Canis lupus familiaris: one gene and its partners. The protein of the gene in region 2 purifies or fractionates together with the protein of the main gene of each other region. This does not show direct contact. Links are inferred from orthologs where the notes say so. Each region holds a gene or a part of one and is shown on either strand. Other genes may lie near its edges. The genes, in order: NPM1, DDX21, EFTUD2, CDK9, C1QBP, RPL19 and LARP7.

Evidence for each region.
Region 1: the proteins of DDX21 (region 2) and NPM1 purify together in Homo sapiens (affinity purification with mass spectrometry; 3 studies listed by BioGRID and IntAct, counting the BioPlex papers as one, with this or other methods). This does not show direct contact. The link is inferred for Canis lupus familiaris from reciprocal best matches to the Homo sapiens genes DDX21 and NPM1.
Region 3: the proteins of DDX21 (region 2) and EFTUD2 purify together in Homo sapiens (affinity purification with mass spectrometry; 3 studies listed by BioGRID and IntAct, with this or other methods). This does not show direct contact. The link is inferred for Canis lupus familiaris from reciprocal best matches to the Homo sapiens genes DDX21 and EFTUD2.
Region 4: the proteins of DDX21 (region 2) and CDK9 purify together in Homo sapiens (affinity purification with mass spectrometry; 3 studies listed by BioGRID and IntAct, with this or other methods). This does not show direct contact. The link is inferred for Canis lupus familiaris from reciprocal best matches to the Homo sapiens genes DDX21 and CDK9.
Region 5: the proteins of DDX21 (region 2) and C1QBP purify together in Homo sapiens (co-immunoprecipitation; 3 studies listed by BioGRID and IntAct, with this or other methods). This does not show direct contact. The link is inferred for Canis lupus familiaris from reciprocal best matches to the Homo sapiens genes DDX21 and C1QBP.
Region 6: the proteins of DDX21 (region 2) and RPL19 purify together in Homo sapiens (affinity purification with mass spectrometry; 3 studies listed by BioGRID and IntAct, with this or other methods). This does not show direct contact. The link is inferred for Canis lupus familiaris from reciprocal best matches to the Homo sapiens genes DDX21 and RPL19.
Region 7: the proteins of DDX21 (region 2) and LARP7 purify together in Homo sapiens (affinity purification with mass spectrometry; 5 studies listed by BioGRID and IntAct, with this or other methods). This does not show direct contact. The link is inferred for Canis lupus familiaris from reciprocal best matches to the Homo sapiens genes DDX21 and LARP7.

What each region holds. Positions count from the first base shown.
Region 1 is NC_049225.1:41,660,374-41,664,311, forward strand, and holds the start of NPM1 (nucleophosmin), read right to left. Parts: upstream 2,801-3,938; 5' UTR 2,715-2,800; coding exon 2,657-2,714; intron 648-2,656; coding exon 568-647; intron 7-567; coding exon 1-6. UniProt on the Homo sapiens protein: Involved in diverse cellular processes such as ribosome biogenesis, centrosome duplication, protein chaperoning, histone assembly, cell proliferation, and regulation of tumor suppressors p53/TP53 and ARF.
Region 2 is NC_049225.1:20,838,776-20,842,275, reverse strand, and holds part of DDX21 (nucleolar RNA helicase 2), read right to left. Parts: intron 3,382-3,500; coding exon 3,236-3,381; intron 1,525-3,235; coding exon 1,375-1,524; intron 996-1,374; coding exon 834-995; intron 1-833.
Region 3 is NC_049230.1:18,514,319-18,517,818, reverse strand, and holds part of EFTUD2 (116 kDa U5 small nuclear ribonucleoprotein component), read right to left. Parts: intron 3,124-3,500; coding exon 3,037-3,123; intron 2,608-3,036; coding exon 2,481-2,607; intron 2,280-2,480; coding exon 2,192-2,279; intron 1,552-2,191; coding exon 1,433-1,551; intron 1,266-1,432; coding exon 1,171-1,265; intron 674-1,170; coding exon 520-673; intron 373-519; coding exon 265-372; intron 1-264. UniProt on the Homo sapiens protein: Required for pre-mRNA splicing as component of the spliceosome, including pre-catalytic, catalytic and post-catalytic spliceosomal complexes. Component of the U5 snRNP and the U4/U6-U5 tri-snRNP complex, a building block of the spliceosome.
Region 4 is NC_049230.1:55,704,457-55,708,464, forward strand, and holds the start of CDK9 (cyclin-dependent kinase 9), read right to left. Parts: upstream 2,801-4,008; 5' UTR 2,733-2,800; coding exon 2,641-2,732; intron 2,182-2,640; coding exon 2,100-2,181; intron 1,299-2,099; coding exon 1,208-1,298; intron 862-1,207; coding exon 695-861; intron 573-694; coding exon 401-572; intron 244-400; coding exon 95-243; intron 1-94. UniProt on the Homo sapiens protein: Protein kinase involved in the regulation of transcription.
Region 5 is NC_049226.1:31,558,774-31,563,008, reverse strand, and holds the start of C1QBP (complement component 1 Q subcomponent-binding protein, mitochondrial), read right to left. Parts: upstream 2,801-4,235; 5' UTR 2,717-2,800; coding exon 2,506-2,716; intron 1,946-2,505; coding exon 1,795-1,945; intron 1-1,794.
Region 6 is NC_049230.1:23,125,187-23,129,371, reverse strand, and holds the start of RPL19 (60S ribosomal protein L19), read left to right. Parts: upstream 1-1,385; 5' UTR 1,386-1,487; coding exon 1,488-1,492; intron 1,493-2,397; coding exon 2,398-2,504; intron 2,505-3,655; coding exon 3,656-3,778; intron 3,779-4,185.
Region 7 is NC_049253.1:7,462,054-7,465,553, forward strand, and holds part of LARP7 (la-related protein 7), read right to left. Parts: intron 1,328-3,500; 5' UTR 1,326-1,327; coding exon 1,127-1,325; intron 678-1,126; coding exon 577-677; intron 506-576; coding exon 422-505; intron 270-421; coding exon 105-269; intron 16-104; coding exon 1-15. UniProt on the Homo sapiens protein: RNA-binding protein that specifically binds distinct small nuclear RNA (snRNAs) and regulates their processing and function.

The DNA of each region.
Region 1 (3,938 bases), about 21 Mb from region 2:
ACTGACCTGTGAACAAAAATACTTTAAGTTCCTATTTTACAATCCCCCCAAAATTTGCCTTCTAAGAAAAAACTAAGCAATTATAAACCTATTATTACCACTAACAGAAAACTTATCGGTGCACAATGTCATCTTCAAGTTTTAGGTTGCCTTGCCAACCAATTTTTCATTTGAACAAACGCAGCAAATATATTTAATGGCATAGTTTTATCTGCTACCCACAGAATGGACCACCTAACATCTACTGTCCACCTATTCTAAGTTAGGCAGTAAGGCTGCAGGCCCCACTATGGAGGACAAAAAAATAAAATTTATCACTGCCCTAAAGGGCTTTTTCTAATGCAGCCAGAGAGGCAAAATACACAAATATGGAAAGTTGAACAGTAGTGTGACTCAACTTCACATTACCAAATGAAAAGTAAAGATGCCAAGTTTTATAGTACAGGTACAAGATCATGTATTTATAACACTCAGTTATAAACAATACTACTATGAAAATGTTAAGTCACACAAATAGGAATAGGAATCAAGAAAGGTCAAGTAGTTTATTTTGGAAAGTTTCAGTACCGTTCTTAAAGATAACTGGTGCTCATTTTCATCATTATCCACCTTAAAGTGGTAATCTTTGTCAGCCTTTAGTTCACAACCTGTAAATCAAGGGAAAAAAGCAACAGAGAAAAATGACACTGAAACTTAAGTGAGGATAACCGAAAGGTAACAGTTAATTTGTGACCAAGTTTCCCACTATTCTAGCTATCAGTAGGCAATGCAGAGGTAGCTCTTCCTGGATTTCTTGAACAGCAATGTCTAGAAACATCACGTAACATTTATACAGGGCTTTATAAATTCCACTTTCCAACTATACTATTTCATTTTCAACCACACTCTAGTTGTTTTTAGATAGAAACAAGCTCAAAGATCTAGTAAATCTGGATCTGGCAGTATCTGAAACGAAGTCTAATGTACAATATCGATAAACTTTAAAAAGGACTAATCACCTACCTACGAAAGAGAAGTGACCAATTTAGAAACGAGAATGGTTACACAAACACCTACAAGAACAGCCTGTATTCACAGGACATAAACTACAGATGTAAAAGACCCAAAACTTGCTAGAGGGGTCAATATTCCACCTTTGAAGTTAACAGAAATGATGTTCATTATGCTTAGAAATTATGTTTAAGAATAGATATATCCTAGGGATATTTCCCGTAGAAAAGATTAACACAAAAATACAGTATAAATTGACCAGAAACCCTAGCAATTCAAAAGGACTAGGAATAAAAGCCGTAACATATGGTGTAAGTTACCCACTCCCATCCCATCAATAGGCAAGTTGTTTCAAGTACCATCAGAATAACCTTTTAATTAAAGGACTCCATTTAATTGCCCTCTAACAGTTACTGGTACATAGATGTCTAAATGTTACCTCAATTAACAAATCTCAGCATGGTATATAAAGAAACGTGGGGGCAGGATTTGCACTTACTTCAAAGTCTGACAAAGATAGGGCTTCTGACAATTTCACTAAGATTGAAAACCAAAGCTGGCCTCTCTACTATGTATGTAACTGCTTTCTGGAGAGGGGAGGGGAAGATTCCAAAAACAGTACCAGCTCTTACTGAACCCCACACAAATTCCTCATCTTTTCAAAAAAGCTGTTTGCTCAAGGCCACAAGAAGGCTGTTTCCCCCAGCCTCCCTCCAAAAATCAACGCACCAGTTCTAGAGGCAAGGAAGGGTCTTGGTTTAGATCTACCCACTATTTACCTACAAGTACAAGCCCTCGTTAAGCCTCAAGCCTTCAGTTCTGAGCATCAGTCATGTGCAAAGTGGGCTGGTTCGATCTTTTTAACAAGTGCTCTATAAATGAGAACTGCCATCACGGATGTTAAGGACTGAACAAAGACTTACAGAATCTTGGCTCTACCAGCCTCTTCACTTAAGATTTCCCGCCCAACAGCTTCAATTAAGCCCCAGGATGCCACGCTCCGTGGTGACAAGCCACCGGGGAGACCCGGATGTAGTGCCCACACCCCCTCCTTCCCCCAACCACGTGGCAACCACGTGCTCCCAGCGGTTGCGGCCTCCTCACGCCCGGCCGCGCCTCCCCTCCCCCCGCAACGGGCCGAGGCACCGGGGCTGAAACTCGGCCCTGAAGCTCCGCACTCTTGAGGCCTAGGGACAACGCGAGGCTCTAAATACCCTTTCCCCCAGAAAGGAAGCCCACGGCCCACACCGCGGACTCCCTCAACCTCCAGGACCAAGCCGGGGCCCTGCATCAAAGACGCCGGCCAAGAATCCCAAGCCTGTACGAAACCACGCAGCTCAAGAGAAAATCAAGCCCGTGGCTCTACCGCGTGCCCCCAAGCAAAGCCGAACCCTCAGCCGGTCGGTTCTACGTTACCTCAGGCCCTGGGCCTGGGATCGTTCCTGCCCAAGGCTTCAGGCCGCCCCTCCTTTCACCGCTTCGTGCTCCTCTCTGGACCTCCCATCCCTTACGGGGCAGGGCCTCGGCGGCTCTCCTCCCTCCCTCGGGCCTCCAGCTTGCCTGGCTTACCCTCCCAGCCCAGGCCTCAGTGGGATTCCCGCCCCCCCACCCCCACCTCAAAGCCACCAGGCCCTGCCCGGCCTCACCCCACCCCCCCTGCACTTACCAAAAAGATAGTTCTGGGGCCGCAGGGGGCTCATGTCCATGTCCATCGAATCTTCCATGGGGCGGTGGCACGCACTTAGGTGGGAGAGAAGGCGGACGGAGACACACGACTACTGTTCCTCAGAACAGCCGCGCAGGACGGAATCACAGCAGGGAAAGGACGCGGGCTCCCTGCGCACATATATAGCACCGCGAAGATCTCGCGAGAGCTTTCCAAGTCCCGTCTCCGCGCGCGTGCTCGGGAGCCCCCCTCCCCTGACGGTCGCCCTCCCGCGCAAGCGCTCTTCAACTCCACTCCTTTCTACCTCGCCCCCCACCTCCTCCAGGTACTTCGCGGGCTCCCATGGAGCACGCGCACTCGTACCCCGGCCCCACCCCTCCGCCGCCGCCGCCGCCGCTGTGCGCACGCGCGCTCTCCCCTGGTGGCGCGCGCTGCCCCCCTCCCACCCTTCCACGTCCTCTCCCGCTCCCACCCGCCGGCCCAGCGCCTGGAGCCTGCGCTGCCCACCCTGCAAAATGGCGGCGGCAGCCCTTGGCGGTGCTAGGTATGGAGGGCGAGCCGGTTGTAAGAGAGCCAGAGAGCTCGGTTCACCGTTCCCCATCACTTCGTGCCTCTCAGGCCTCCAGGCAGGCAGAGCCACCTCGGGATTTTGACTCACCCGAAGGCTTGGGTTCAGAGTTCATTGTTTCCTCAAAGTTAAAGCTTCAGGTGCCAGAGACCCTGGATAACCGAGTATTCCTTGTTGGGGAGAAAAGATGTGGCTGCTGTCCCGACTTATTCAACTGCTTTTATAGCCCTTTCCTTGCTGAGTAAACATCTCTGAAGTTGAAATCCCTCATCTTTTTGTCATCTGGGGGCCTAAGGGGGACTGAGTGAGCCTCTTCCAAATGAGCAGGGCAGGCACCAAGCCTGGTTGATCTCTCCAGACGCGAGATTTTAAAAGGGCCACGTACCCGCAGTACTTCCCCGTGTAAGATCCCGTGAGGCAGATGTGAGTATCCCTTGTTTGGAGACGAGGAAACGGGCCAAGCGTCCAAATGAATGAAGCTATAGGACAGGATGCTCTAGCTCAAAGTCCAATGCTAACATCCCTCTAAGAGTTTGGAGGGATATGCCTGGGTCCGGTTTCAGATAGATAGATAGATAGATAGATATAGATATATATATATATATATATATAATTTGTGTGTGTGTGTGTGAGTTAATTCATGAGAGATACAAAGAGAGGCAGAGACAGGCAGGGGGAGAAGCAGGCTCCCTGAGGGGAGCCTGATGCAGGACT
Region 2 (3,500 bases):
GACACAGGCAGAGGGAGAAGCAGGCTCCATGCCGGGAGCCCGATGCGGGACTCGATCCCGGGACTCCAGGATCGTGCCCTGGGCCAAAGGCAGGCACCAAACCGCTGAGCCACCCAGGGATCCCCTTATTTTTAAAAATCCAATGTTTATTTTATACCTAGAGTACACGTGTTGATTCAGACTACTTCCAGTGCTTGACAGCTACACATGGCTGTGGCCATCGTATTGGACAGCACAGTTCTACAGGACCCTTTAAAGAGCTGGTGCCTTCATAGTAATCAGGTATTTTTTCTATCATTATAAACAACCTTCTAATCCTGAAGGATCTGCCAATTTGTGGGGGTCCTCACATTTGAAGCAACGGGAACAGAACAAGATCTTTTATACCAACTTTTATTCACATGAAGCACTGTCCACACCACATAACCTATGCTTCAGGCCCTCCCTAAGACATTCCCATCACCCTCAAACCCAAGCAATTTTAAACACAGAGACTATCTTTTCTATATCCTCTAGCTCATGAGTTTATCCCACCCTGACCCTGCCTCAGTCCCCCCAATCTTCAAAGTCCACTTCGCAGTTATCCTACCTACATGAGCTTATCAAATCTCCCTCCAACCAGAAATAATCCTCCCAACCTCTGGACACTGACCACACTTCCACTCAGTTCTGAAGGAAGGACCTCAGAAGAGGTTTGTTTTTAAAATCACATGTAGCATTCCCAGCACTCAAGAGATACTTATTACTAACCACAGGAAGTAAACAATACAACTTCCCATTTGTTTTAGTAGTCAAAACAAACAATAAGATGAAACATAATATAGAATACTTACCTTTGGTGGAGAACTCTGTATCACCAGATCAACCTCAGGGATGTCTAACCCACGAGCAGCAACATTAGTTGCAACCAAAACTCCAAAATCACCATTTCTAAAACCTTTCAGAGTGATTTCTCTCTGCTTCTGAGGAATATCTCCATGCAATGACTGGGCATCCTGCCAAAGAAATAAACTGGCTTAAGATACCAACAATACAGGTACTTTTCATATCACCCATAAGACCTGTAAAGACATTTCTATTTTGTGATACTCCCACTGAAAATAAAGCAGAGGGAAAACTATGTGCCTTACATCGATAAATCTCAAATTTTTTCTTACTCCTTGGTCATTAAATCAATGTCCAGCTATACTTACTGGGTAAAGATCACCAGACAAGAGTGATCAAACCTACTGCATCAGGATAGCCTCGGGTTTGGGTCACCCTTCCCTCATCTGTGAGAGGAGACTGACAGATCAGGGGAGCTCTCACAGGGAAACGGGGTCTATCAGTTGGAAGAGGCTCCCTCCCTATAGGAAAGGGAGGGCAAGGACCAACCTGCCTTATGGACACATTCTGTGACAACTCCTGGGCTTCTTTCTTGGTTTCGCAGAAGATAATGGTACGCCCATGAAAACCACTATATACTCGGATCACATCCCCAATAACTGCTGCCCTTTGAGTCCAGTGGCACTTGATAGCCAGGTGCTTATGAGAGGGAAAAAAAAAAGATGTATTTAGTAAAACCTACCTGAAACCTGAAATCATCTGCTCAAAACTACTAGTGTTAGAAGCAATTGTTTAAGCCTAACTAGAGCAGACCACTGCCACCGCTGTGTAGAGAAAAAAAAAACAAACCTAAACCATTAAAGCAGAGAGCTGTCTCTCTCTCTCAAATTAATAAGCCTTTTTAAATTTTATTTATGCATGAGTGATGGAAAGAGAGAGACGGGGGGGGGGGGAGAAGGTGTGCAGAGAGACACAGGCAGAGGGAGAAGCAGACTCCCCACACAAGCCCAATGTAGGACCTGATTCCAGGACCCCGGGATCACGCCCTGAGCCAAAGGCAGATGCTCAATTGCTAAGCCACCCAGGTGTCCCTAATAAGTCTTTTAAAAAGTTGTGGGACACCTAGGTGGCACAACTGGTTAATAGTCCAATTCTCGGTTTTAGCTCAGGTCATGATCTCAGGATTGTGAGATCAAGCTCCACATCTAGCTCAGTACTCAGTGTGAAGTCTGCTTAAGACTCTCTCTCCCTCTGTGCCCCCTTCCCGCCCCCACACATGCTTCCTCTCTCTAAAATAAACAAATCTTGGGCAGCCCCAGTGGCTCAGCAGTTTAGTGCCACCTTCAGCCAGGGGCGGGATCCTGGAGACCCGGGATCGAGTCCCATGCTGGGCTCCCTAGATGGAGCCTGCTTCTCCCTCTTCCTGTGTCTCTGCCTCTCTCTCCCTCTCTATCATACATAAATAAAATATTTAAAAAATAAATCTTAAAAAAAAAAAAAAGTAGGGAGCTATTGTTCCCCTTTCTCTGGTTCCTCGATTTCCTTCTTTCCTCCCTCCCTCCCTCTCTCCCTTCTTCCTTCTCTCCTTCCTGCTTTCTTTTGTTTTTTAAAATGCCCAGCATGGAGCCCAATGCAGGGCCTGAACCCACAACTTTGAGATTTAACCCAAGACAAGATCAAGAGTTGGATGCTCCAGACACCTGGATAGCCTGGATGGCTCAGAGGTTAAGCGCCTGCCTTCAGCTCAGGGTGTGATTCTGGAGTCCAGGGATGGAGTCCTGCATTTGGGACCCCTGCATGGAGCCTACCTCTCCCTCTGTGTCCCTCATGAATAAATAAATTAAATATTAAAAAAAAAAAGAGTCGGATGCTCAACCCACTGAGCCACCCAGGCATCCCTCGTTCCTCTATTTTCTGAACCAACCAGGAAAATGAAGAAAAAGAAACATCATCTCTTCATTCCTACAGGACACCAAGGAACTGACAAGAGAAAAATTTCTGAATGTTTCATCCTTTCACCCACTTAAAAATGCAATTAGTCAGCCTGCAGGTCTGTTTCTTGGTAAAAGGAATTCTATGTGCTAGAACCTAACATGAAAATGGCTTCAACACAAAGTACTAGATTCCTCTGCTGCTCTCAAAGTATTTAAATTCTAGGCATAACTTCTTCCGACTTACATAATTCAGACAGAGATTCCAAAAGATTTTGAAATCAGACTACCAGATAATGAAATTTAGAAAACACAGATACTATACAACTCAAATAAAAATAGATCTTTACTTGGCCCTTCACATGGATCATGGATTTAGTATTTATCCATAAAAAGTGTATATTTACCAGTCTTAATCAGACAGGGAAAACACGACATACAATTTTTTACTAATTCTAGCAGCTGAATGAATCATTTACCTCCACGGTTATTGCCGTTTTCTGGGTCTTTTTACCAATCAGGTCCACCTGTTCATATGTAGATTTCATGTATTTCTTAGCAACATTATATACCCAATGAGGGCAAGTTGCAGAAAAAAGCAATGTTTGGGGATTGTCTTCTGAATCTTTGGGGGAAAAAAAGTCAGTATGAATAACCCAAATAAGCCTACACAGTACTCCACATCACCCAGTTCTTCCAGGGTCCAACAGCATGCTACAGCAACAATGTGAGGCCAAGCCAGGC
Region 3 (3,500 bases), on a different chromosome or scaffold from region 2:
AGGGGGAGGATGGTGGGAGATGGAACTTTTGCCCAGCTATTCAGGAATTGCCACTGGGGAGGAGAAGATGCTCCCTTCCCAGCCAGACTGGTCCCAGAAGGCCAGTGACCCGAGGCCTGTAAAGTTTGCACCTCTCTGCATGGTGTAGTGAACAGTTCTTTCAGTCTTTGGGAGAAAGGTCCCAAAGTTAGAAATGAAGAGAGATCCAACTCCTGCCAAGAGCCCTAGGATTGAGGGTTGACCATGGGCCTCAGGGATGCATACCTTCCTGCGACGGGTTTTGATCATGAATTCCCGGGCCAGGTGAGGAGCAGGCTGTGGCTCCAGGGGGCGAATGACAATGCTCTTGTCCAGAGGATCACCAGGTACAATCTAAAAAGTAAGGTTGTTATCGATGGTCTAGGGCTCTTCTCTAGGATGCTAGAAATCTCACTTGGGGCTTGGAAGGGGAACAGATCAGTGGAGGCTGGCCTTGAACAGGTGGGAGGCGACCTTGGCCAGTCTGCACCATTTTCTCACCTGCCAATGGTGGAAGACAGATAACGAAAAGGCCTGCCCTTGGGTGTGAGTCCGTAGATCAGTCTCAAAGCCAAAAGAGTCAATGGCGGGGATGAAAGCTTTGATTGTGTAGAGAGGGGAGCCTGGGATGGGTGCATCCTGAGTCACATGCCCCCTGCGACAAAAAAAAACAAAACCTGAGTCCCTTGTCCTACAGAGACCCAAAGCAGAGAAGAGAATCTGGCCCCAAATGTACCACAACACAGAGTGACCACCAAAGAAAGAATAACCACAATCATGCTATAGTGGGTGGAAAAGGCTTGGGGCCCTCAGTATCATTTCCTGTGGCAGTCAAAGGGGCAGTGACTGCTAGGCAAGAGTGGAAACTCTGATGGGACAAGGTCCTATAGACATTCCCCCCACTGACACACTTCAGTACTTTCCCCAGAGGCTAAGGAGAAAGGGCCCAAGAAGGAAACCTCAAATTTGTATCTGCAGTGAAGCTGGGGATTGCCTCAAATCTTTCCTACTTCCTCTGAAAAACTAGCTCACTAGGTTTTAAGGAGCAAATATAGTGTAGAAGGCTCATCTCCTTCCACACAGGAACCCAGTTACCTCTTGCTGGGCTCCTGCTCTCTGCACCCTCCCTGACGTGCCATGCTGGTGGCTCACCTGCGCCTGGCCAGGACGGTGTACACAGCAGAGACACAATCTGCAGGAGCTTGGACCTCTACAAAGTAGTATGGCTCCATCAGACGAGGAGTGGCCTGCAGTGGGGCAAGATGAAAGGTTTCCTCAGCTTGGGGAAGGCTGACGACTGAGGACCTGGGTAAAGAAAAGGCTGGAGGGACTGTAGTCTTGATGCCCCCAAAGCCTGGACCTCCTGGACCTGCACTTAATGCCCTCCTGGAGCAGGCTGGCCCTACCCACTCACCATGAGGAAGGCAGAATAGACGACTCTCCTTGCTGTGGGGATGATTTGGCCCCCACCCCGGTGCAGGGGCTCTTGGGCAACCACTGCATCCAGGATCTTAAACTTGACATTTCGAATCACTGAAACAGAGATGGGGAAACTGCTGAGTGAGGAGCAATTGAGGTGTCAAGGGCCCAAGGGCAGAGCAGCAAAGAGCCTCTAGCAGCATGGGAGCTATCTTGAGGCCACAAAAGCTATGGCACAAAATCATCCTGCAGATGGGTGTTTTGATAGGATACCATGGCCTAAAGCAGAGGACAGAAGTTAAGCACACATTCTTTGTGTTCGTTTCAGGTCATGCCCAGACATCATAAAGCTTTCCTAGTTTATGTGCATTTTCTGCAGGTATTTAATTATTTCTGGATAGAGAATAAATTCAAGGAATTGCACATTTCTTCCCACTAAATCCAATCCTGGTCTATAAACTATTCCAATACATCTTCCTCCTGATACTTCTCTTCAAACACATTTCTTCTCAGGACTGAAGAGCAAATGTCAGCCTAGAAATAACTGTATATCCAGGATGTCCCAAGCAATAGTACTAGGACAGGGAGAGAGGAGAGAGAAGAGAGGAGGCTGCCCCAGGACACAGGCTCGCCTTGTGTGCTGAGCTGCCTCTCCTGCCAGGGCCCACAGGTGAGCCTATTTCACCTCATATGCCCAGGCACAAAGAGCCTAGAAGACTGTAGCTGAGGACACAGAGGCGCTGGGGGAACTTACACTCATCACAGAGGGGCCCCTCCCTGGTTCCCCACTGGAAACCTTGAACAATGCTGTCCTTCACTGAGCCGAGAAGAGCCTTGTCCACCTGCACAGAACATGAGGGCATGTGTGAGCACACTGATCATGGAAACAACCAGAATTTAGAGGGACGAGAAGGTAGATATACTGGTAAGACGATTCACAACAAGCCACAACATACTTTTGGGGAAAGAAGTACACTTTGTAGTTTCCTCCACTCAATAGCAAAGAAAGCACCCCACATTGGCTCCCGCCAGTTCTGCTGTACCTCAGAGGGCAGGGTATCATCTACCAAGATGTTGGGGCCAGTGGCATCAGGGCCGAAAGCCCAGATGGAACGTGCAGCCAGCAGATCCCAATCGTACTTGGTCTGGAAGAATTCTCCCAATTTCTTCCTGGGGGAAGGAGGAGAAAATGGAGGTATCCTGTAGCTCTGCGATTATTACCTGCTGGGGTCACAGATTCTGCCTTCTTGGAGGACAGTTTGCTTCCCAGGACAGGTGGTATGAGAGACTCAACAAGTAGGCTATGGCAGCCGGTCTTTTTTTGTTTTAAAGATTTTATTTTTTGCGCATGTGAGAGAGAGCGAATAAGTGAGAGCATGAGCGCACACAAGAAAGCATGTGCATGTGCTCCAGAGCACAAGCAGGAGGTGGGGGGAGGGAAAGGGCAGCAGACTCCTCATTGAGCAGAGAGCCGATGTGAAACCTGATCCCAGGACCATCATGACCTGAGCCAAAAAGAGATGCTTAACCAACTGAGCCACCCAGGCACCTGGTGCCTCAACCCCTTTCAGCTTTGGAACCAGGGCCACATTCTCTCACCTGTTCCACGTGATCTGGACCACCTCATTCTCTATGTCCTCGGCAAGGCCCTTCTCAAGAGGCTCTGCAATCATGGTAATCTTGTTCCTAGTCAGAAAGGAAATGGGTAATGATGAGGATCAGCAGGACTGGCAGAAGGGGCATTCCTAAGAAAAGGCCGACAAACCAGTGTTATCAGTAAAAGTGAGAGGGCCAGAGAAGAGCAAAAAGGGTTCATCTTCTGTCTTCTTTCATTGGAATCTATCACTCTTTAAAAAAGTGAGGTCTGGGGATGCCTGGCTGGCTTAGTCAGTGGAGCATGCAGCTCTCGATCTAAGGGTCATGAATTAGAGCCCCATGTTCGGTGCAGAGATTATTTAAAAATAGAATCTTAAAAAACAAAAAACAACAAACAATAAAAAAAAGTGGAGCTGGGCAGCCCCAGTGGCCCAGCGGTTTAGCGCCGTCTTCAGCGCCTGATTCTG
Region 4 (4,008 bases), on a different chromosome or scaffold from region 2:
CTGCTATTTCACTCCCCACTCCTCCCTTGCCAGGAGGACTTCTGGATCTCTGCGTCCTGTGGGGACCAGGGGCCCAGGCAGCCTGGCCACGCACCTCAGGGGTGATGGAGCCACAGAGCTGGCTGATGAGGGCAAGCTGGTGTTGCTCGGTGTTGCCCTGCATGATAGGGCTGCGGGTCCACATCTCGGCCATGATGCACCCAGCACCCCACAGGTCAATGGGGGGGCCGTAGTCCCGCTCCCCTGGGAAGAAGAGCGCACCAGGAGGGCCCCTTGAGCCCGAGGGCCTCCTGAGACGCAATGCCCCAGGGCCGGCGGCTCAAGAAGCCCTGGCAGTGGGGGACTGAGGCCGGGTAAGTGCCCAGCCCCTGCCCCACTCCGCCCGCTCGGGAGTCCTCACCGAGCAACAGCTCCGGAGGCCGGTACCAGAGCGTCACCACACGGTTGGTATAGCGATTGGGCTGGCTGTTCTTGGCCAGGCTGAAGGCCCGGGCCAGCCCAAAGTCGGCCAGCTTCAGAACCCCATCGCGAGTGATGAGCACATTAGCTGCCTTCATGTCCCTGTGCAGGATCTGCAGGAAGCGCAAGAGGGCTCAATCAGGTTTCCAAGGGGAACCCTCAGTCGCACCCACCCAGCGGTGGGAGCCGAGGCCCACCCCAGCCCGGGTCTCTCTTACCCCATGCTGACCCCCACCTTGTTTCTGTGGATATAGTAGAGGCCGTTGAGCAACATCTGCATGACCTTCTTGATCTCAGACAGTGTGAACTTGACCAAGACATTGCTCAGCAGCCCAGCAAGATCGTGCTCGCAGAAGTCAAACACTAGGTATATACTGCCTTTGCAGCGGTTATAGGGGGAAGCTGGGAGGGAAGAATGGGGGAGGAGTAAGAAAAAGAAAGTAAAAAACCCCACGTGCAACTCATTTCCCCACACAGCTTCTACCCCTCCAGCCCGTGGACACTGGGATATTCGGCTGTGCCTTCCTTCACTGGAAAACTATTTCCTGAGTGCCTCCTCTGGGCTGGGTGCTGTGGCAGGCCCTCGAGGAGCAACAGCTACGATGGAAGGACCCAAGAGCAGTCACAGTCGGTTTGTCTGGGTTAAGAAGAGGCAATTTAGGTGTGTCCACTTCCAACTTTGCAAAGCCTTAGGCAGTAAGCCTCATTTTCCCCATCTGTAAAGGGGGGCAGGAGCCAAAGAACCTACCTTTGGTTCGACAGATCTCAATTAAGTTGACCACATTCTCGTGTTTCAGAAGCTGGAGGATCTTGATTTCCCGCAAAGCCGTAATGGGGAACTGGGTAGGAGAAAGGCAAGAGGGGGCCTGAGGTGAGCGAGTCAACTATAGACCAATGAACAGACCAATGAACAACCGTGTGGTCCAGATCAAGGGGCACAGGTGCAGCAAACGAGTAAGGTCCCGGGCTCTGACATCATTTCAGATGTCTTAGCTGTAAAATGGGTGTAAAAATAGTATGTGCCCCTCAATGAGTTGCTCTGAGACAATGAACTGAAACAGTGGGACTTAATACCTACACACTTCACTACTCGTCACTAAATAAATGTTCCACAGTTTCTTCAATATTTAAGTTTTAGCTCTATACCTGTATTTAACTTACTAGGTGGAAACAAACAGCTATTTAAGGAAATGTCCTTGCTAAGCAGGTCTCTGGGAAGCTGGACTAGGGCTACAATGAGGCAAGGGAGGGGACTGCTCCTTTTCAACTGAGTACCAGCCACTCCCTTAAAACCACCAAGTGGAATTTCTTTCCGCCTTATGCAAAATGAATGCTAAGGAAACCGTGTTTAAAGGCTTCCTAACTTCAGGAACTAAGGCACACTCTGCAGGCATGAGCTCCCCCTCCTGGCCCCAACCGTATTTACCTAAGAGTGGGATATCAAAAGCTCTAAAACATTTGAATTAAAAAATTCAATTTGGAAGCCAAATTCCCCGAATACGGAAATTGCCTAACTACCCCCCCCCCCCCAACACACAGACACACAGGTTCTCCAGACGAGAGCCCTAGCAGAAGCAGGGTGGAAACCCAACCCCGAGCCCAGGGGAGCTGGCAGGCCCGCCCACCCGGCCCATACTCACCCCCTCCTTCTCGTTCTCCATCAGCACTTTCTTCAGAGCCACCTTTTTGCCGGTCTTACGGTGCTTTGCCTTAAATACCTCCCTGCAGGCCGAGAGGGAGACCCAAGAGGTTTTATCAGGCCGTTTCTGCAGGGCCCGCCCCTCCCCCACCAGAGGAGGGGGGCAGAAAAAAGGGATTCCCCGGGCGGGGCTGGGCCGGGGACCCAGGGCACTGCCCTACCTTGCCACCCGCTATCTGCGGAGCTTCGAGCCTCTACTTCCTCCCCTCAGTCTCCTCACTCAGGCGTCTCTCGGAGAGCCCGCTCCCACCACTGGCTCCTCTCCGTAACCCCTCCCCGCCCCCCATCACAGGCCTCAGGCTCCTCCCCGCCAGCCGGCTCGGTCAGGCCCAGGCGGGCCGCAGCGCGGCCTAGCAAAACCAGGGGACACGTCTGGCGCTCATGGCCTTCCCGACCACCTCGGGCCCGGCCCTGGGCATCGTGACGTCGGATTTGAGCGGTGCAGGCCCAGAGCGCCTGGTCCCCCGGGGGCGCAGCCTTACCCGAAGGTGCCTTGGCCGATCTTAGCGAGCTTCTCATATTTGGACACCTCATCACAAAAGGGACACTCCACCGAGTCGTACTGCTTTGCCATGGCCGCCTCCAGCGCGCCGCCGCCGCCGCCCCCAGCCGCCGCCGCCGCCGCTGCTCCCGCTCCGGGTCCCGCCGCCGTGCTCCAGGCCCCTCCGCGGCCGCGCCACTTCCGCCTCCACGGCCACTTCCGGCCTCGCGGCGCCGACCCCGCCTCTTCCGTCCGCCGCCCGCCGCCAGGCCCCCTGGGACTTGTAGTTCCCGGGAGGCCAGGAGCAGCCGGAGCTGCAGAGGCGCCTCCGCCGCCGCCGCTGCCCCCGCCTCCGCCGCCGCCACTGTTGGCGGCTGCCCCGATCGGGGGCGCGGGGAGCCGGGGCGCCGGGGCTGGGGCTCGGGGCGGTGCGTCCCGCTGCATCGGCCCGGGCCGCCGCTGCTGCCGGAGCCGCTGCCGCTCTGGCGCCCGATCCGGGGCCAGCCGCAGTGCCCTGCTCCTCCTCCTCCGACGGCGCCGCCTCCGCCGGGCTGCGCGGGGCGGCGAGCGGGGGGGTGGCCCCCGAGCCGCGGCCTGGGGTCTCCCTGGCCGGGCCCGGGCCCGGGGCGGCCGGGCAAGGGGGCGAGATGGGAAGAGCCGACGAGGAGGTGGCCCGAGAGCCCGGGAGGGGGCGCGTTATAAAGGGGGAGGTGCCCTGGCCTCGCCCTCCCCTCCCCCTCCGCCCGCCCCCCTCCCTCCTCCCTCCCACCCTCCGCGGCCGCACCTGCCGCCGCCGCCGCCGCCGCCGCCGCCGCCGCCGCCGCCGCCGCCCGCTGTCCGCCGGCCGCCCTCGGCGCGTCACCGCCCGCGGCCCCTCCTCCGCCTTCGGAGGTGGGGCCCCGAGCTCGACACCTGGCTGCGGAGCGCTTTGTCGCGTGCCTCAGTTTACCCCCCCATGCTAGCTGCCGCGGAGAGCCCTCTCCCCGGCTCGGAGTGCCCCTCCGCTGGGAAAGGCGGGAGGCGCCGAGGGAGCGGCCTCCGGTCCTGGGAGGAGAGAACGGCCCCCGCCGCCGCCTCCCCAGGCCCCAGCCGCCCGCCGTTGACATGGCAACCGACGGCCGCTAGGGGGCGCGGCGACACTGGAGACGGCGAGCGAGCAACGCCCGGGCCTTCCTGCCCTGGACCCCCAATTTTCTGGGAGGAAGGGATGAGACCCGCGGGAGCCCTATGCCCACCCAGCTGCGTCCGAGCGGGTCAGTCCCGGGTCAGTAATCACAAAAATGGCTAGCATTTGCTCAGAACTCCTGTGTGTTCAGGAATCGCTGGGCATTCCTGCTGAATCCTGCTGAATCCTCAATCAGGCGCCCCA
Region 5 (4,235 bases), on a different chromosome or scaffold from region 2:
CCACATTGGGCTCCCTGCATGGAGCCTGCTTCTCCCTCTGCCTGTGTCTCTGCTTCTCTCTCTCCTCTCTGTGTATTCTCATGAATAAATAAATAAAATCTTAAAAAAAAAATAAAAAATAAACCCACAGGCCCCACTTTATCTCCTTGTCTCCGCCACGTGCAGACGCAGTGGGTTACTAACTGCCCCCCCACCCTGCCAACCCAGGGCTCCTGGCCACCAGCCATTCGGTGGCAGTGAGCAGCAGAGGGTGCTGGGACAGCAGGTAGCCTCTCGTAAGAACTTTACTCCATGAGATCTGCCCAGAGGGACAGGGGAAGAGAGGCACACAAGGGTGCTGCTATGAGAGGGCCAGGATAGGCCCCGGGGAGGGGGCTCCCCGTCAACACAGCTGCCAGAGCTGTTTTTAAAAATATATTTATTTGAGAGAGCACGAACAGTGGGAGGGGCAGAGGGAGAAGCAGATACCCTGCTGAGTAGAAAGCCCGACCTGGAACTCGATCCCAGGACCCTGAGATCACGACCTGAGCCAAAGACAGATGCTCAACCACTGAGCCCCCGCCCCCCCTAAATCCATTCTTTAAAATACTTGTGGGAAGTTCCATATCGTGAGGAAGCAGCCTGGAAACACCCACCTCATGACAGTCTTCCGCTACAGAACCCTCCCCTGACAAATTGTGCTCCGAGTCTGAGTGCCCAGCGCAGGTAGGTGCCAGCTCCCCCACTCCGTGGGTGTACTCGGGACCCCCCTGCCGGTGTGCTTGGAGTTGCTCCCGTACAGGGATGCTGGTGTCACATTCAGCTACAAAACCTATCTAATGTGCCGCGGTGCTGACCACACTGAGCACCTGGGCACAGAGGTGCCGCTCTATTCACTAGAACATTATATTTACTCCACTGGCTACACGTTACCCTCAGAAAATGGTTTAGGGGAAGTTATGCAGGAAAAAAAAACATGGCAAATAAAGGCAAAGAAAGAATCAGATCCCAGTTCACAACATCTCAGAACTTTACTCAAAAAAGGGATGGTGAAGAGGTGAAGCAAATGGAAAGTTCTGTACCTTTCTAACGGGGACACTAAGCACATGTGGCTTCATCCACGCACATGGGGGCCACAGGCTGGTTCTCCCCACTGTAAACGTCAAATGTCAGGGGGAGGGCCGGGTTTCCCTCGGCCAGAACCCTGCACTGCAGAGGCGGCACCCAATCCGTCAGAACTGCACAAATCTCAGTCGGGGGCACCTCTGTGGCTTGGTTGGTGAAGGGTCTGGGGTTGGCTCTGGTGGTGATCCCAGGGTCCTGGGGTCGAGCTCCAGCTCCCATAGGGCACCCTGCTCAGGAGGAGAGCCTGCTTCTCCCTCTGCCCATGTGCGTGCTCTCTCTCTCAAAAATAGGGCAGCCCTGGTGGCTCAGCAGTTTAGCGCCACCTTCAGCCGGAGGGGATCCTGGGGACCTGGGATCAAGTCCCATGTTGGGCTCCCTGCATGGAGGCTGCTTCTCCCTCTGCCTGTGTCTCTGCCTCTCTCTATGTCTCTCATGCATAAATAAAATCTTAAAAAATTATAATAATAGTAAATGAAATCTTAAGAAGACTTTCTGATATGCGTGCCTGGGTCAGGCAGGGCCTTCCTTACCAGGACATCCTTCCTTCCTTAATAAATCCACGCTCAGCCAATCTGCGTGCAGTGAATGAGGCACCTGGAAATCATGTGTCCGGGGACCTGCTCTAAGGCATCCCTGGAAGATCGGGGAGGCTGCGCCGGGTCAGAGGGACCCCCTGCAGCCCACACTTACTTTTCTCCAGCTACTTTCCGCACTAACTTGGCCTCCGTCCCATTCATGTCTAGCTCCCAGCCCCCAGACATTTTGGGGAGGGACTTGTGCTTCTGTATTTTCTTTTCCTCCTTAATCTCATCATTCAGGAACTCGACGAAAGCTTTGTCCCCTGCAATGAAAACCCATAAGATACAGAAAAAGAAAAACCAGTCAGTCTTAAACCAACAAACGACTTGGGGTGATTGCTGTGGGAAACCTGGCCTCGACCGATTCTGATGCTTGTGCTGTTACGGAGGCTCTGGGCACGGAGTCAGACCCACGGGGCCTCGGTTCCCAACCTGGAAACGGGCTGGACACCCGTGGCAGGAGGCTGAGCTCAATTCTGGAAAAATGACTTCCAGCAACGAGCCCATCACCGCATTTCACAGCGAAGCCAGGCGATTCCCGTTACCCGCCCCAGACCACACACGACCTCCCCTGCTTTTAACTCTGACCAGCCGCCTCCCCGAATCCACCTCCGAGGCTCAGGATAGAGCCGGCTGCCGGGGTTTAGAAGCATCACCGCCAGCCAGGGAGCCACCACTCTCGGGATTAAGGCAGGAAACCTCAAGCCACGTGGGATTAACCTGGAGTCGTCCACTGCAGGGGGTCGTGAGTTTGGGGCCTTGGGCCCCCGCCCCCCTGGCCGCGGCTCCCCGGACCACCGCCCCCGCCGCGCCCCAGCCTCACCCTGGGTGTGCAGCCCGCCGCAGCCGCAGCCGCAGCCGCAGGGCCCGCGGGAGCGCAGGAGGCCCGCGCGCACAGGGAGGAGCCCGAAGGGCCGCACGCACGGCCGGGGCGCGGGCCGCAGCAGGGTCGGAGGCGGCAGGGCGGGGGCGGCGCGGAGCCCGGCGACCGCCGAGCCCAGGGCGCGGGGCACTCGGCGCAGCAGCGGTAGCATCGCGGCAACGCACGTGCGGGCGCGAAGGACGAACCAGGCCCGGATCCCGGCTCGCGCGCCGCCGGAAGTCCCGCTCCTCCCCGGGAGCGCTTCCGCGCCTGTGCAGTGCCGGCCCGGGGCGTCGGGCTGGCAGCGCCCTCTGCTGGGGCCGCCGAGGTCAGCGGGGCCGCCGGCGCCGGGTCTCCCCGCGGGACCCCGAGCCCCGAGGGTAGCTCCGCTCCGGGGCCGGCCCTCTGAATTCCCGCCACCCTTACCAAGCGTGGACACCACCCCGGCGTGCACACCACCTGTGTGCACCTCCCCAGCATGCACAGCCCCGGCACGCGCACACACACGGCCCCCAGCGTGTGCCCCTCCCCCCCACCAGCGTGCACCCAGTTCCCAAGACTTTGCATTGTTCTGGGACCAGGAAGCTGGGAGGAGGAGGGAGGGGCCCAGAAAAAGAGAGCTCTTAAGGCCCCGGAGAGGTCACTTGGGGCCTCCAGCTGTTCTTGGCACCCACACCCTACTCCTAGCAGCTCCTCGAAGAACCTCCTAAGGCGGTGTCAGAATCGCAGATGCAAAAGCCTTAGTCGTTACGGATTTTAAGGAATAAAAGGGAATGCAGAACTACGTGGGCGGCCGAACCGCATCCCAGACTTCAACCTCGCGGTACAAGTCCCAGGGCTGGTCCAAGAGCAAGGCGGGTGTTCCCATCGGAGATGAGCCCAAGACCCCAGCCCGTGGCCCGGGGGAGGGGGGGGGGAGGCGCTAATCGCCCCTTCCCCTGGCCCCACCCTCACAAGGTTAAGGTCTCCCCCGGGGGGAGCAGGGGCCTCATTGCCCTGACAGGGCGCAGGTAAAGGTGTTTTCAACCTTGTACCTGAGCAACCTGATGGACGCCCCTGCGCAGGGAACACAGCTGCTCTCCCTGGATATTCATCCCTCACCCTTAATAACCTGCTCGCCTCTGCTTGACAGTCACGGCTTTGGAAGTTATTTCCTTCCTCCTCCTTTGCTGCAAATCCTTTAGTTTCCTGTGTGGGGCTGCCCCTGGGGTCGTCTCTGGTGGAGTTATTTGGAATGTCTCCGTGTGGTTTGGTTGGGTCCTGGGCATCTTGGAGCTAAGTGGTGGTTTCATTTAGCCCAGGGCCAGGAGCCTGGGGCAGAAGGCATGCAGCCACTCCAGGGCTTGGGGAAGTAAGGGTTAGGGAAGATTTAAGAGGATAGGGGCACCTGGGTGGCTCAGTGGTTGAGTGTCTGCCTGTGGCTCAGGGTGTGATCCTGGGGTCCTTGGATTGAGTCTTACATAGGGCTCCCCGCAGGGAGTCTGCTTCTCCCTCTGTGTCTCTGTCTCTCATGAATAAATAAAATCTTTTAAAAAAAATTTTTTTTAAGAGGATTTTCATACACTGAAGAAGACTCTGGAAACCTGAGGCCTGGCTGTTGTCAAACTCAGAGTCGAGGGCTTCCCAGAGGAAACTCACCCTCTGCCTCCCCCAGTACCTGTCCGAGGGCTGCAGGTTATGAGGACATGTAA
Region 6 (4,185 bases), on a different chromosome or scaffold from region 2:
TTTTCCTCACCCTGGGTTCTACAAATGGATGGGCAGCTTAAGCTGTTTCTCTGATCACATTGAGGGAGAGTAAGAATAAAGCACATCAGCATTGTTCTATGAACAGATCCAATACTGAGCAGGGTTTTGATCTGTCCCTTGGGCACAAGAAAGCTTGGTACGACAGAGAAGTCATAGATATTGAAGTCAGAAAGACCTGGAATTTCAACTTTTGCCACCTCTCTCAGCTATAAAATGAGGATCACACTAACTGTAGTTTTGAAAAAGTGGCAAGTTTTGCTTCCCTTCCTCTCTTTCCTCAGCTGCATTTAGCCCCCAAGAAAGTTCAGATGATAGAGATGGGTGCTCAGCTAGAGCCAAGCAGAGTTAGACCCAGAACTCAGATCTAAGTCTCTTGAACCCTAGAATATTCTCTTTGGGTTTTTGCATTGGGTGTTTCAGAGTAGGAGAAAAGAACTATGGATGACCCTGTCATTCCATCTTTTTGTTTTGTTTAACTTTGACAGCTATTCATTTACTCGGCCAATGCACTATTTCTCAAGTGTTTATTATATATGCAAAGCTCCATGTGAGCCCAACGAGACTGGTTCCTGTCACCTAGAAGCTTGTCTTAATGCTCTCTTTTGCAAGTTAATACATGTGGTTTTCACGACGGATTACAGAAATATGAGGATTAGGTACACTTTACAAAGGAACAAACTGAATCGCCATAAGATTAAGGACCAGAGTGGCGCAAAAACACAAATATCTTTGGTGGGCGCCTGTGTGGCTCAGGTCGTGATCCCATGGTCCTGGGATCGAGTTCCACATTGGGCTCTCCACACTGAGCCTGCTTCTCCCTCTGCCTGTGTCTCTGCCTCTCTCTCTCTGTGTGTCTCTCATGAACAAGTAAAATCTTTAAAATATATATATATACATATATATACACATATATACATATATACACATATGTACATATATATATCTTTGGTGATCTATCCTGTGCTGCAGGGGTTTCCCAATGTACTGGAAGAATGAATAAAAGGTTGCTCTTGACTGATATCTCCCCTCGTTATCTTCTCTCACTCCACTATTTTTTTTTTTTTTCGCTAAGAAAACATCATTCCAAAGAACCCAGAACGCCTGCAAATAGGCCGCTCTAGCAGAACTACGTCCCGCCTGCGGCATCCAGCCGTGACTTCCGGCTTCCAGTACCCACGTGACCGGCCCCCTTGCTGCGCATGCCTATTAGGAAGTCGGACTATACCACTTTGCCTCACCGAAAGGATACATTTTCTGTGTTTTTAAGTTTAAAACCGACTCCCGAAACTAGATTCTGCTGTCTCGGTCTTCACAGAGGATAGGATTGAGTTTAGAGTGTCAGAGGATGAGAGGACCGGCGGGGAGTAGGGGCTCAAGCGGAACAGGGGATGGGCTCTCCCCCTCGCAGATAGTGGGAGGAGCCCGGCCAGGGGGAGTTCTTTCCTTTCGGCGCTGCGGCCGCAGCCATGAGGTGAGGGCGCGCGGGGCCCTGATTTTGGTTGATCCTAAGTGTCGGCGGGCGGCGTGGTTTGCTCCCCTGGCCCCGGGTGGGAGAGATGAAGTGGAGACAGCCCTGAAGCAGCCGGTCCCGGAGCTTGGGGCTGGCCCGAGCGCACTAGGCCCCGGCCTCGGCCGGCGGGGGGTGGGGGTGGGGGGTGCTTCCCGAGAACGCTAGGCCGCGGGAAGGGTGGGCCTCGCACCCCGTGTGGGTTGCGAGCGGCTTGCCGGGACAGTGGAAGGGCCGCCGCAGCGACTAGGCTGTGGCCCCCTTACTCGTTGGGCGCCCGGGATCGGGCCGAGCTCTGCTTCCATGTGACGTAGGACAGGTCTCGTCCAGGCCTCGGGCCTCAGACTACTTAAGAGTGAGGCGATGCCTTCCACCCCGTGGGCGATTCATAAGAAAACTCTTAGGCTAGCGGGACGTAAGTTTATTAGTGTGATAAGACGAGGGAAACAGGCCCAAGGGAAACTAACCCAAGGGCTAGACGAGCAAATCAGACCCTCCAGCCTCGGGTTCTTAAACGCCTGTTCCAGAGCTCATTACCAGAAAGAGCATAAGCCCCCTCTTCATCCCACTTTTATCCATAAACTTCCTTTCCCAGAGGAGAAAACCGAGGCAGAGGAGTTAAGGCATAGCTTGGTCTATGTGTTCGTTCCAGGGCGGCCAGTTGCCCCTGCAGGAATGCACTGCCCAAAAATCTTGCTATGGGAAAGATTTCTTAATATGGGGGTGGAGGGAGGGATGTTGTCTTAAATACTGAATGCCTGTACACATCCACCTCCCGTGTCCTATCCTCAGGACGTTAAAAGATTGGAAGGCAGGTTTTGCCAGGGAATGGCTTCCAGGGGCTTGATCAGGTTTTCTGTTTGTCACAGTATGCTCAGGCTTCAGAAGAGGCTTGCCTCCAGTGTCCTCCGCTGTGGCAAAAAGAAGGTCTGGTTGGACCCCAATGAGACCAATGAAATCGCCAATGCAAACTCCCGTGAGTTCTTGGGATCTTCACTCTGCTCCTCTCATCCTTCATGAAATGAAAGCTGTCACAATTTTTTTAAAAATATTTTATTTATTCATGAGAGACAGGCAAAGGGAGAAGCAGGCTCCCTGCAGGGAGCCCAGTGAGGGACCTAGGACCCTGAGATCACAACCAGAACCAAAAGCAGAGGCTCAACCACTGAGCTACCCAGGTGTCCCAAGATGTCATGGTTTTGTTGACAAACTGTGGAAAGCTCATAGTCTGGAGTCTTCAAAAATGAGGGTGCCAGAGATAAAGAGGTGTCAGTCATGCAGATAGCAACATAGCCCTGTTACTTCCATGTAGTACTGTTAAAGAAAAATATGTTCAGTGATCTTCGTTAAAGATAGGCTTTATTTAGGACCATTGCTGCAAGTGTAGGGACCGCTACAGTGGGATTTTACAGTGGGGGATGAAAGTTGCAATCAAGTCTGAACATAGCACAGCCAAGTAGAAAGTTTTGGCCAAGGAGAGTGGTACGAGTGTCAGCGGGTGGAAGATTAGTAAGAGGAAACTCTAATGGTAAGGGAGTGGTTGTTGCTAAAGACAGGCCAGGGGGATCTGACCTCACCTGGGCAATGCTGGTGGATGAAGAACCTGATCTTGTTTCAAGGTTATCTGCTTAAATGGACTTAAACAATGACCTTACAAAATGCAGAATTTATAAGGAAGTGCACAGGCGGGCCTGGGAAGTGGTTCCAGGACCCTGATGAAAGTTTGGTCAAGCAAAGAATGTTGGTCAGTACCAGGGAATTTCTTAACCAGTTTGAATTTATGGCATTGTGACATGTGTTCAGAATATCCTAATCTTGTCTTAGCCCAGTAGCTAATAGGGGAGTCTGGATCTGAAGGACCAGGCCGTATCTGTACACTGTTGATCACATATCCCCAAATACATATAATTTGAGTGTGCTGTAAAACATTTAGAAAAAAATAGAACAAAAGTGCAGTTTTTTTGTTTTTTTTACAAAAGAGAAATAAACAGAAAGTTCCAGTATTTGTATCATTTTGAGACCACTGGGCCAGGAATGTAAGCGATGTCTGCACTGTCCTGTTTGGACTCTGGGTTGTGACTGGTATTTGGGGGGCCAGTTCACTGACTAGCTACATTGTTTTCCCAGGTCAGCAGATACGAAAACTGATCAAAGATGGGCTGATAATCCGGAAGCCTGTGACTGTCCATTCCCGAGCTCGGTGCCGGAAAAACACTCTGGCCCGCCGGAAGGGCAGGCATATGGGCATTGGTAAGTGTGTTCTTCCCTTTTCTCTGAGACTTAAATTAGAGTTGCCTGAGTCTAGACTGGGTTATATCCAGGATCTTTTTCACTTCCATTTTGTCTCCCCTCGAGTCCTTTTCTTAACTCCATGATACCTGCTGTGTTTTCTCTGTACAAATCAGAAAGTTGACACTAGTGTTGGATTTGAAGGTGTTGGTAGAAAGAGGTCACATTTATTGATCAACTACACTATGCCACGGATTCTTCTGGGTACTTGAAAATGTTATTCAGTAAATCCTAAAAGCATTTTCTAGGGTTAGGATGATTTAGGGAGACGAAGGTCACACCCCCTTTAAAGCCCCCTCCAGCTAACCATACTGCCTTTGCATATGCCCTGTAGAGCACACATTACTCAAGGGAGTAATTGCCTTGTT
Region 7 (3,500 bases), on a different chromosome or scaffold from region 2:
TGGGTTGTTGAGAAACTGAAAAATCAATAAATTAAAAACCAATTAAATTGTCACTAAAAGTACTCGCTAATTTTTTTGCTTTTCCTTTTAGGTTCTGGACCTACCTCAATAGCTTTTGCTGCTTGTTCTTTTGTTTCAAATTCCACAAAGGCAAATCCCTTTGGATCTCCAGTAGATTTATAATGTGGTATGCTTATATAAACAACATTGCCACATTTCCCAAATACTCTTTCAATCCAGCTGTGATTAACATTTTTGGGAAGTAATTCCTACAATAAATTAGAAGCAATAGTAAAGTCCTCAAGGTTAATAAATTTTTACAAGTCCTCAAGGTTAATAAATTTTTACTAGTAATATTAAAGTGTTTCTGTCAATTTTGTCTGTGATCACTATCTCTGAGCTTTTTTTTAAAATGGCTTACCACATACACTGTCCGTTCATCCTCATCCTTTGGTCGTTCCCCCAGGGGCTTTTTCCTCCGGATTCTGGTGCCTTCCAAGTCCAGCTTTTAAATGGGTACATGAGGTTAATAAACTAATAATTATGTGATAAAATAAATTGTGTAACAATTCTTACCTCTACAACAGAGGAGCTTTTTAGTGCTCTGGCTATTAATTTTCCATCTGTGGTCAATTTTTTCATTTTGTTGAAAGACACGAGAAGTGATATATCAACATCTAATAGAAATACAAAAGTTAATACATTACAGAATATAATAAAGTAACAAGCCAGGACTTCTGGATAAAATATTAATCACACTCCTAAACTAAGTTTTGGTTTTGGAGTAAATAAAATGCCTTTATGCATAAAACCCATAGGAATTAAACCTGTAAGCACATAAGAAAAACCCTGGACTTCTAGGCCCAAAGTAATGCTCAAATTGACCCTGATGTCAAGAGTCTACCTGAGTTGCCAGGAGCTCCACCACAAAAACTAGGATGTTATCAAAGTAACTGAAATCTTGGTCTGAATTTGTTGCATCCTACACTAAGTCCTTTAAGGAAATTCGTGTCCTTTATGAGGGTTTTACGTGGGAAAATAAAAGTTAATCCTGTATATAATATGTGGTGTACCATAATATATATACTACATTGTTAACATTTGTTGTACAGTAAAATAAACCTACATCCGTCTCTGGACTTTTCTATTTGCTCTCGAAGAAATCTATCTTTGTGTAGATTTGCATCTCCAAACCAGAAGTCCACTTGCTTAGCAATATCTGCCAGCACTTGTTTAACTCGTGACCGTTTCTTTTTTTCTACTTCTTTTTTCTTTTCAGTGCATTCTTCCATTGCCTTTTCTTGATTTCCACCTTCAGTTTCCATTCCTGTTCATTGAAAAAAGGTAAATTTATATAGGAAGACTTTCAGATAATTATTAGCCTTTAATTGTCCGAAAGCTTAAGAGACTGTCAGCTGGCAGAGGACAAACTTTGGGGTAACACCTAGCAATCAGTTAAGGAAATTTTCATTTGACCCATCTTCAGTCTCTTAATTGTCACTTTTCATTTTCCTTGTTTTACCTCTGAATCCTAGCTTTACTTTTTGATGCACTTTTACTGCAGGGCCAGATTATCTTCCTATATAGTATGTCTGTATTACACCAAACTACACTTTAACTTTTACACTTTTAATCCAAACTGTCAAAGTGTAAGATTAAGGGATTCAGACATTCTCCATCTCAAACTCCAAGTAAATAATTTATTCCTGATTATTTAAAAAAATTTTTTTTAAAGAACTTATTTTTCAGCAATTTATCCAAAATGTGGCTTGAATTTACAACCCTCAGGTCAAGACTCCCACGCTCTACTGGCTGAGCCAGCCAGATGCCCCTTAACTGTTTTTCTGTTTAGAAGCGGAACTTAACTGGTAAGCTATAGAAGCGGGTTTTTCTTTTCCAAGGGACCTTTCCCATCCCAGTGTTAAAACCAATCAAGTGTCATTTAGTGCTGAGTAATCCCATTTTTCACCCAAATTCTCCCTTAAACCCATTCTGTCAGGCTTCTCTTTCCACCATTCTAGTGAATTGAAACCCGTGATCTCCATGGACTACTGGAACCCCTCAGGGGCATCTGCAGTTAAACTTCCTTGAAAACCTTTTCTTCATTTGGCTTCTAGGAGAGTTTTCTTAATCTCCTTTACTGGACCATCCTAGTTAGCTCTATCTTTACTTGCTATTCAGTCCTGGGTTTCCATCTTATCTCCACACATATCCTTTCTGAGGGTCTCTGGCTTTAAGCTTTTTAGCTCCATGCTGATGTTTCACAAATCTGTATTTTCTAGAGCTGACTTCTCCCATTTGCTGCCCCCCATTCCATCACTCAATTGCTCATTTGACATCTCCACTTATTTATCTTAAGAGTTTCTCTTATGTAGAATAACAAAAACCCAACTCAAACCTATTTTTTTTGCCATGTATTCCCAACTCAGAAGACACTGATCATAACACTGCTGAGAGTAAAATTCTGAAATTCTTTTCCTAATATGCCACAACAAATCTAGGAGCATTTATGTTAGCTCTAACTTTATAAAATATATCCTAAATAAGAATACTTTCTATTTTCACAACCACCTGGTCCACACTATCATGTCTTGCCTACTCTCCTCCAAGAACACTGTAACTTGTGTTTGCTTCTACTCTTCCATTATCAATTCTCCAATCAATCATTATCTTCCATTTTCATCAATTACCATCAATTCTCCAGATAGTAACCAAAACAATCATTTAAATATGTAAATCAGAGCATGCCAATCTCTGGGACAAAATCCTCCAAAGGTTTATCATACTCGAAATCCAAAGCCCTTACTGTGGCCTGCCTGGCACTATTTGATCTGGCCTGGGGATATCTAACTACATTTCTTACAATTCTTTCCAACAGGCTCACTCCAACTATGACATACCATTCCTTAAACATGCTAAGGCCATTCCCACCCCAAGTCCTTTGCTCTTGCTGTTCTCTTCACCCTCCTCCCCACATCTGGAGGGATTACTTCACTGTTCATTCAGGTCTCTATAAATGTCACTTTCTCAAAGAGGCCTTTCACTCAATCTAAAAACATTTCTGTTCTGCCAATCCTAACCCTATCCATTCCATCTGCCACAATTTTGTATCCTTTAAAAAAAAGATTTTATTTATTTAGAGATAGAGAATATGAGAGACAGCACAAGCAAGGGGGAAGCAGGGAGTCCCATTGATAAGGGCAGGGGCCATCCCAGGACCCTGAGACCACAACCCAACCCAAAGGCAGCCACCCAGGCACCCTACCACTTTATTTCCTTGTATCCTCTTGTTGCTACCTGGAATTACAATTTTATTGTCTGTCTACCCCACTAGAATGCAAAAACTACAAAGGCAGAGACTTAAGCTTAATCACAATCCAACCATTTCTTAAATACTATATTTAAAAGGACCTCCTATTACAAAGTGTTTAGCATTTCAAGTTCTTTTGAAAGGGGGCAGGCTTAAAAAAAAAGGGTAGGATTATAAATAAAATACAAAC